2 linked regions of the Caenorhabditis elegans genome follow. The protein of the gene in region 1 purifies or fractionates together with the protein of each later gene. This does not show direct contact. Each region holds a gene or a part of one and is shown on either strand. Other genes may lie near its edges.

Evidence for each region.
Region 2: the proteins of col-119 (region 1) and gfi-3 purify together in Caenorhabditis elegans (affinity purification with mass spectrometry, with the first as the bait; one large-scale study listed by BioGRID). This does not show direct contact.

The regions. Positions count from the first base shown.
Region 1 is NC_003282.8:8,978,387-8,981,541, forward strand, and holds col-119 (Nematode cuticle collagen N-terminal domain-containing protein), read right to left. Parts: upstream 1,410-3,155; coding exon 540-1,409; downstream 1-539. Other genes in the region: pdzd-8 (PDZ Domain containing), read left to right, coding at 200-301, 1,975-2,321, 2,493-2,972.
Region 2 is NC_003284.9:14,478,956-14,485,223, forward strand, and holds gfi-3 (Protein gfi-3), read left to right. Parts: upstream 1-1,616; 5' UTR 1,617-1,618; coding exon 1,619-1,729; intron 1,730-1,779; coding exon 1,780-1,880; intron 1,881-1,930; coding exon 1,931-2,053; intron 2,054-2,242; coding exon 2,243-2,432; intron 2,433-2,481; coding exon 2,482-2,573; intron 2,574-2,615; coding exon 2,616-2,712; intron 2,713-3,056; coding exon 3,057-3,235; intron 3,236-3,294; coding exon 3,295-3,411; intron 3,412-3,456; coding exon 3,457-3,599; intron 3,600-3,662; coding exon 3,663-3,726; intron 3,727-3,780; coding exon 3,781-3,912; intron 3,913-3,958; coding exon 3,959-4,069; intron 4,070-4,115; coding exon 4,116-4,230; intron 4,231-4,321; coding exon 4,322-4,566; intron 4,567-4,617; coding exon 4,618-4,858; intron 4,859-5,175; coding exon 5,176-5,517; 3' UTR 5,518-5,747; downstream 5,748-6,268. Other genes in the region: M163.11 (ShKT domain-containing protein), read left to right, coding at 423-496, 556-942, 987-1,154, 1,205-1,301. UniProt on the Caenorhabditis elegans protein: Probable component of the anaphase promoting complex/cyclosome (APC/C), a cell cycle-regulated E3 ubiquitin ligase that controls progression through mitosis and the G1 phase of the cell cycle.

The sequences.
Region 1 (3,155 bases):
TCTTTTGTTGCTGCAGCACATGGGACATAAAGGGATCACAAGTGCAGATCATGAATTTTGCAGAAACGAGAAAAACGAACGTAGTTATTTATTACTGTAGTACGAAAGGGATACGATAAATAATTAAATTAATTAGAACATCGATTAAGCAAAAATTTCTAAAAACATCAAGATTTATAATAGTTCGTGTACTTTTCAGCCACCGCCCTTGCCGCAAGACGTCGTCACAGTGTGTCAAATTTGGAATCTTCTGTAATCGACACGAACACCGAATCTGTTGCCTCTTCTATTTTCGGATTAGGTATGTTTTTTCTTTTGAACAAACTGTTCCCTCTTTACGTGGAACTCCCATTTTAATCAGTAACCGTCGATCATGTTACGGTATCCGTGAGAAACCGGTTTTCTGATCGTTGAACAGTTAAAAAATGAGATTTTTTCGAACGGAAAATATTTTATTCAAATAAGAACACTTTCAATTCGAGCTTTTGTTATGCATATGAAAAAGGAAAATGGAAAAGATGAGAAAAGAAAACTCGTTTTTAACGACGGGATCCATCCTCGAAGAAGACTCCACCATCGAGAGCACAGTATTTTGGACAGACTCCCTTCTCTCCTGGATGTCCATCGCGTCCTGGCTGTCCTGGACGTCCTGGTTGTCCGTCTCTTCCTGGTTGTCCTGGTTCTCCGTTGGCTCCCTTCTCTCCTGGTCCTCCTTGAGCTCCATCCTTTCCTGGTTGTCCAGCTGGTCCGCGGGATCCTGGTTGTCCTGGACGTCCTGGCTCTCCTGGTGATCCTGGTTGTGGCTCTCCATTGCGTCCATTCTCTCCTGGTGGTCCAGCTGGTCCTGGCTTTCCTCCTGGTCCTGGTGGTCCAGCTGGTCCCTTGTTTCCTGCAGTTCCATTTGGTCCTTCTGGTCCTGGTGGTCCTGGTGGTCCGAGTGGTCCCTTGTTTCCTTGTGGTCCTGGTGGTCCGGCTGGTCCTGGTGGTCCTTCTGGGCATGGCTTGCATGGTGGTGGGGTGATTGGCTCACATGGCTCCTTTGGTGGGCGTCCTGGATTTCCGTTAAGACCTGGTGCTCCTGGCTTTCCTGGTCGTCCAGCACGTCCTGGGGTTCCTGGTGGTCCTTGTGCTCCTGGAAGACAGCATCCCTCGCATTGTCCATTTCCAACTTGACGGGCGGTACGGTTGTGAGCCATCACCATATCTGGGACTCTGTTGACGTCCCCCCAAAGCTTCTTGGCCTCAGCACGGCACTCGACAATATCATGATGCATGGTCTTACGAGCATGATGAATGTAATTGTATACCATTGGAAGAGTAATACAGACCGAAAGAACGGCTACGGTAGAGAATGTAAGAGCGGCATAGCCGACGAAGCGGTAAGCCTTGATCTTGGAATCGATGTCCATGGCGGAATGGAATGATTACCAGTTACTCTGGACACCCTTATATACGGTTGCTACATGAAATTTTGGAATTCCTCTTACTTTCTAACACCTCCAAAAATACCGTAATCTTTACGACATAAGGAAGTCAAAATGTCGAGTAACCGTTTGTCCAGAAAAATAAAAGGGATAGGTATCAAACTCTTCTTCGCTTTTCTCTACGTCGCTTGTTTCCATGCGCAATTTCATTATTACACTGCAACTAGGCAACGTTACAGAAGGAGGGAGTAATTGTGATTGCCAGGTCAGTAAGAACAGCAAAAATTATGGAAAAGTTTGATAAGCAAATATAAAAAAGAAGTTAGATGGTAATTCTCTGTTTCTGGTTTTCGTTTGATACCGGACGGTGATTTTCAAAAATCAAGAAAGTTGATAAAAAGGTTCGTAGAGGTCAGGCGTTAAATGTGGTAAAGTTAGAGTAAGATGTTCGATCGGCAAGACAGAGACAGCATTTGTTGAACAAACCAGAAATCCCGTTCGAATTAAAATAATTTTATATCGATTTTAAGAATATTATATTATTTTTCAGACGCTCACAAATTCGATAAACCTCCATCTGTCTCTGTTCAACGTGCTGAAAGTGCTCGAGTGCCTCAACTTCTGATCAGCCAGCCAAGTTTCGATTTACGAAGAACACAATCGGAAAGTCATCTCGATGCAAAAGTCATTGATGCCGTTTTATCGAGTTCTGCAGATTTTGGAATGGAAAATTCTGTGGAAGACGAGATCAAGATGTTGTTGGTTGGAGATTTGAATAGAAGTGCATCTGCTGGACATAATCTGGATCCACAATTACTTGGAGTTGTTAAAAGAGAGGATAAAGATAAAACATTGACCCAGGCTGATGCTTCAAAAGGATTGGCGTTGATTGCTTCAGTAAGTTTCCCTTTTTTTCAAATTTATCAAAATTCATCATTGCACAACTCGAAATAGTTGTTTTCTGAATATTTCATTCGTATGCCTTTTGTAAGAAGACAGAAAACATTTCAATCAACAATCCAAGCAATAATCTAAATTAGTTTTTGTCTACCAACTTTTCTTTTCCAGCAAACCGGTTCGGTTGCCTCCCTTTCATCAATGATCTCTAATCGTACTGACACTGGAACAGAAGACGGAGGTGATGATGAAGAAGCACATCTTGACAGAAAACGATCTGCGAGCACACGAAAAGCCAAAATACAGGCAACATTTGCTGCTGGAAAGAAGAAAGTTCTCGATTTGATGCCTCAGAAACGAAAGAACACCGATGCTTCAGATCTCAATGGGGAAAGCATCGAAATTGGAGCAGATGCTGGTTCACTTTACGACACAGATACGAACAGAGATCCATCGATTGGAAGATCTCCCATGGCAGTCGTTGGGAAAAGGAAAGAAAGTCCATCAGATGAGAAAAAAGAGAAAAAGAGATTGAAGAAGAAGTTGTCAGAATCTCCGAAGATCAGAAGAGCTGCTGGTTCAGCACAGAAGGATCAGTCTCCAATGACTACAATCAAAGCTAGAACCACAAAGAGTGTTCAATTTCAGAAGGTAAACAATATTATTCAAAAAAATATTCTGATTACTTTTAAAATCTGACACTAATAGTTTCTTTTTTACTGAAGTGGGACTGTAGGGATTACTGTAGTTTAGCATTTTTATATTCATGCATCAATGCTCGAAATTGCTTTTAAAAAATTTCACATTTTTAGAAAGTTAACAATTTATCAAAAC
Region 2 (6,268 bases), on another chromosome or scaffold:
ATTTGAAGATGATTGAAAAAAATAAATAGTGAAAAATGATATCGTTATCAAGAAAACGTAGCATGTGGCGTTTGACCTTCATCATTTGCAGACGCAGGTTTGCTGGTGTAATATCAATGGGAAAATGAAATAGTTTTCACCGATTAAAATTTTAACTGTAATAATAATTATTATTGGCTGATTTCATTAAAACATAGTTCAGAAATAAAAATTCATTTGTCTTTTTAAGATCAGCAACTTTATGATTCATATGATCGAGCGCAACTTGTTATAGACCTATGTATTCATTAATAGTTCCTCCTCTAGGTGCCAATGCTTATTAGGGGTCAAAACGTTGTGACAGTTGTTCAAACAGGAAACAGATCGGATAAAAGTTAGCCAGTGAGGGCCCACAGAACATTCAACTTTCAACTCTCACTACCATGAACACCTTCTTCGTTTTAACAATTGTTTTCTTTGTTTCAAGCGCTGAAATGTGCTCCGACTCGGCTTCAAAGTAAGTTACAGATTATTTATTCAGTTTGAAATTTGAAATTTCATTTTTTTTTCTTCCAGCTGCGCGAACTGGGTTGCCAATGGGTTTTGCACCTCTACATTCTACACTACCGCTCAGAAAACCCAATACTGCGCATCAACCTGCTCTTTGTGCTCTGATTCTTCAGATTCTAGCTCTTCATCGTCCACTGCTTCTACAAGTTCTTCTTCGTCCACAGCTGCAACGTCCAGTGATGATTCTTCTTCATCTTCTTCATCATCTTCCAGCTCCGCGTCTTCAACATCTTCTTCAGACACAACAACAGCTGACAGTTCTTCTACTACATCCTCTGATTCTTCAACAACCTCTTCCAATTCTTCATCATCCACTTCATCCTCAGATTCCACATCTGTCGTATCTTCTACATCTTCCTCAACCACTACCACATGTGTAGATTCTTTTTCCACGTAAGACTTGATTATTTGCCACTTGCAAAATAAAAACCTTCTAGATGTACTTCCTGGGCTGCTAATGGATTTTGCACTTCTTCCTTCTACACTACTGCTATCAAAACTCAGTACTGTGCAGCTACCTGCTCTCTGTGCTCTTCTTCCAGTGACTCTTCTTCGTCGAGCTCTACCGCTTCTACATCATCTAGTTGCACAGATTCAGCTTCATCGTAAGATCAATCAATTCTACTGACTAGCCTAAAACAAGTTGAACTTTCAGATGCTCATCTTGGGCGGCCAACGGCTTCTGCACTAACAGCTTCTACACAGATGCTCAACGTGAACTCTACTGTGCTAAAACTTGCGGATTATGCTAATTTCATCGTTCCTCTTTTATTGTAGTTTGTCTCTAGTAAACTGAATGCATATCAAAACCATGTCTTCATAATATCTGTTGTGTGTTGTTTGAGAACGGGCCATACCGATGAGAGAGTGCACAAAATAAGAGAGTTTTCTCTGCTACATGGTGTGTCCTCCCGCCCGCCCCTCCTCCACGAGAAACACGCCAGCAAACCAATAATGCGCCTGCAGCCACCGACCTGCACCGATCCCTCTTCATTTTTTTGAATTTTAGTCGTCTATTTTCTAGTATTACCTTTAAAAAACAAGGTTTTTATATATTTTTTTTCCAGAAATGCAGAAAGCGGCGCCGCGGCCCATCATCAAACGGAGTTATCTCAACTTGGATGCAATTTTCGGCCATGTCTTCTCAAATTTGACAGGAGAGCCAGTGACTCCAACAAAAGTAAGTTTTTTAGTTTAGAAAACCTTCAAAGTACTAAAAATTTACTTAAGATTGCAACGTTCTACCTTCTTCGCATTCTTTTTCAAACACACTTTGGATTCCGTCACAAACGTGCTTACTACAAACCATTTAGCCCCGCCGAAAAAGAACGGTAAGTAGTTTGGAAAAATTTTAAAAAAAGAAACCAAATTCATGTTTTAGAATCTTCCATTGGCTGTATGCATTGATGACGTCAGTCGTGGAGCTTTCTTATAAGGACTTCAGAATTGTCACTCGACTTGCATTTGATGACGGCCGTGAAGTTTGTAAAAACTTTTATGCAGCGTAAGTCAAACGATTTTCATTTTATACAATTAAAAAAACATTATAATTTATTGTAAACTATTATAAAAACTAGTCAAACAATTCGACAATAAATTAAATGCAATAATGTTTCTTAGCTCGATTTTCTGGAGCATTATAAGCATAATCAATAATACAAAACAATCCGCTGGCATCTCTCCATTCTTTCAGTATGGAGAAAATTGGCGCCGGAATGGCGGATGTTACTCTTAACGTTGAAGATGAGTTCTACACCAACAAGCACCCAAAGGATCCGAAATTGCCAGCAAATGACACTGTACATGAAGCTATGGACTTGGCGCGCGGAGACATTATCCAGTTTTCTTCCAATCACTCGTTTATGTACAGATGGATGAAACGAGTATGATTTTTCAATCGAAAAAATTTGTTTCAGTTTGATTATATTTCAGCTCCTGGCACAATACACCAAGTCAACTCCTTCAGAAGTGTTCCAGATAAATGCAGCCATGAAATCATGGGTTTTGTCTGCTGTTGAATCAAAGTAAGTGACGAAGCTTTGCTAAAAATACCGAAACTTTTGCAGATATCATCCCGAGTTCAAGGGAGAGTATCTTCCACACTTCATCGACTGTTCTGTCAGAGCAAGGGATTGGGTTGCTAAGAGCATTTACTTCATTCAGGTGAGATACTATTTGAAACTAAAACTCCCATGCGGTCGCCGAGCCAGCCTCACGTCGTCACCCTCGCCGCATGTACAGTGAAGCGCAGACCTCCGAACGTGTCGGCCGCTTCCAGCCCACCACCTTTTCACACTACGTTGCGCACACACCATGCTACTCATTTCACGCTGAGCTGCGGAACCCCGAACGTGTCGGCCGCTTTGAATGACTACCTCTCGAACTTCATTTCACACACACAGCGGCGCGCGGCGACGGCGTGAGGCCCGGATTTTGCGCCTCACTCAGCTGGGAGCTCTGTTTGAAACTGACAAAAGAAAAGTAATAATGTTTCCATGTTTTTACAGAAGAACCCACGTTTTGCCTTCCAATATAACGAGATGCTTCACTACACCCGGATCGTACAGAAGCGACACCCGGACGTTGTTGAAGGGTTCCTGCTAGAGGCCATTGTGCAAGTTCAATTGAAAGATAGCTCGTCGGCTATTAAGGCAATGAAATCGTTTTTCGAGTTGTCCATGTTTGAGTAAGTGTTATACCGTTATACCGCCACCGAGGTTTAAGAACAAAAAAAATAATTTTCAGACTAAATGAGAACATGGTGCATGCCGCAAAAACGCATCGATTGGCAGTTCCAACTCAAACCCCGTTGATGTATGCACCGATTCTTCAAGCCAGAATTTGCAGAATATTTGGAGACTAGTAAGATATATCAATAAAGAGTACATAAATATTCTCATTTTCCAGCCAAATGGCTCGTCTCCTGCTCCACGAGAGTCTCCAACAAGCCCAGCTCCGAAATGATGAGATTTGCCATCAAATGGCCAACATCGAAATGCACACTGTCGACATATTGGGATGCAGGGCGCTGCTTGAGGATAACAATGAAAGTGAGCTCGTCTATTATTTTTTGAATCAATAAGAACTAAGACAACAACAAATCAAATTTGCAGAAACCGCTAAGCACATTGAAAATGAACGGCGAGTTCAGAGAAAAGCCTTGCTGCACATAGACGAGTAAGTTGGATTATCTACTAGTATAGAGTCATAAAACTAATTAGTACATTTCAGTCTTCACGGACATACGCGATCCGGGCCTTGCTGTCTAAGTTCTGAAGAAGATTTTGAGCTTGTCGCAGAGATGGACTCATATGGAAAAATGCTCATGTTGATGAAGATCATTGCAGAAGGAAACTATAAGCTGTGAGCATTCAATCAGAGACGTCGCTTTAACTTTCCAAATTTACAGGATCTACGACAGAGTTGCGGAAACCGGAATAACGTGTCCAGTCGGTAATGATCTTGGAGAACGAGGACGAAAAGTGGCTGCTTATGGAGCTGCTCTGATATCTAGTAACATGTAAGTAGCTCGTTGCAAATGGCCTAGAAACCATTCTGAATTTCAGGATTCATAATGGAATGTATCATCAAGCAAAGTGCGCCGCAGAAAACATGCTGGCAAACAATTGCAGAACCGATGAAACAGACCCCTTCCAGGCTCCTTTTCAGGCCGAACCTTGGGTAAGTACAAGTTAGAACTGTGACAAATAATAAATTGGTGCAAAATTTATATGTATCTAATGAAATTCAAGTATGATGTATCAATTTTCAGGCAATTGGTGCGGTAAACCTATCTTATTCACAAGCTGGAGTCGGAAACTACGACGCGGCACTAAGAACTATTGAGGAAATGCGACAAAATTATCCGGAAGAACTTTCTTGGCAGTCCAACCGTCACGTTGTCATTTGTGCAGCTGTCATCAACTTTGAAAGATTCTTATTGAAAAATGACTACAAGGCTTGTGCTTCTGAAGTTTTGAATCTCGCAGCACACTCTGAACTAGAATGCAAGCTTCGGTGAGTTGCAATTGAAAGTATTACCTCATTTAATTTCTATAATTTTTTTAGACAAGCTCTTCTCCTCGCCGCAGCCGGAAAAGAACGGGCAAGTGTTGAAGTGTTGGAGGGATTGAACGTTGTGGACATTCGTGGAAGAATTCGAATTCACATGCAAACAGGATGCATTTACACGGCTAGTCAAGAATTTAGAAAAGCTGCAAGAGAATTTGCAGACGCCTTGAGTCTTGCTGAGAACACCACACTGAAGGACATTGTGCCAATGGTCAAGAGAAGACAAGCAACTATGCTGGTAAGCATTTTATGTAAAGAAAAAATTGCATGAATTTTTTTACGCCATCTTGATATTTCACTGAAGAATCTACAAAGTGGAGCACTGTCGTTAGGGTTTTGAATCCGTAAATTTTGCGCTGCACTCCGAAAATTATTTTTTATTCAGCCTTAAAAATTGTTTGAAGTGAGATGTTTGAAAACATAAGGTATTGTATTTTTTATAGATGTCACCAGATATGTCAGACTATACTCGCTTACTAGTTAGATAAAATAAACGTTTTCTGAGAACATCGCATTTATCAAATGAAAAACAATTTTTAGAATCTAAATTTACAGATGTGCCATGGTCAGTATGTCGAATGTCTGAAACTTTTGAAAGAATGCAATGAAGGCATTGAACAGTTTGGATCATTTACCGAGAAGGCGTGCTACTACATGACAGCGGCCAGATGTCATCGATTGCTAGGGAAAGATCCGCGGATGTGGTTGAAAAAATCCCGTGCCCTGGTCCGCAACGGGCAATGGCCGGCGTTTACCAAGCTCGTCCTCTCCGAAATTGCTGCTCTTCATGACGTCAAAGGACTGATGCCTGATGAAAATCGTCTGTCGCAGATTTGTGAGCAATTTGGTAAACTGACTGCTGATTGTCCCGGCCGATGCGAATGGCTCCTCATCTGATGATGTTTCAAACCAATATTCTTGTACACACTTTTAAAGTGCTTCATTATCCAATCCCAAAGACCCCCGTCTGTTCTTACATTCAACGATCTTGTTTCAAAACTCAAACAGGTTTATGAGCTTCACAGTGTATTTTTACGAGTCTTTCTTGCTCTATTTGATTTTGAATTTATGAACTTTTTGTAAAAAAATTGCTTTTGAAAAATTGGAAAAAAAATTGAAAAGGAATGTTTTATTGCAATTTTTTTGATTTTATTTTATTGCAGATACCATTTGTGCAGTTTGAATGCTTCTTACCAAATGTCAGAAAACATATTTCTGGTAGCTAAAATACATTTACAACTGTAGCAAAAACGTGTTGTGCAAGTTTTTTAATAGCAATGAGATGTCTATTTTTTTTTAAATTAAATTGAATCATTATCGAAAGTGATTAATTATAGGAAATTACGAAGAATAGAAAGGATTACTTTGTTATTGGATGTTTTACATGTTCTCATGTAAATTTATTGCTAGCCAAACTTATTTGTTGTTTTAAAGCGTGACCTCATTGAATCAAACGTTTTTTTAAAGATTAGTAAAAAAATTAAAAATTAACCGGCTACTGAAAACCCCACCCCCGCAAAATTCCTATTTTGGGTGAAAATTCCGTATTTGCAGTGAAACAATGCCAACTGAAAGCATCACTCCAGTTACTCATGACAACTCAAATAGGATATGTGTACATAATGATTAATTTTGCTAACTTTCCATA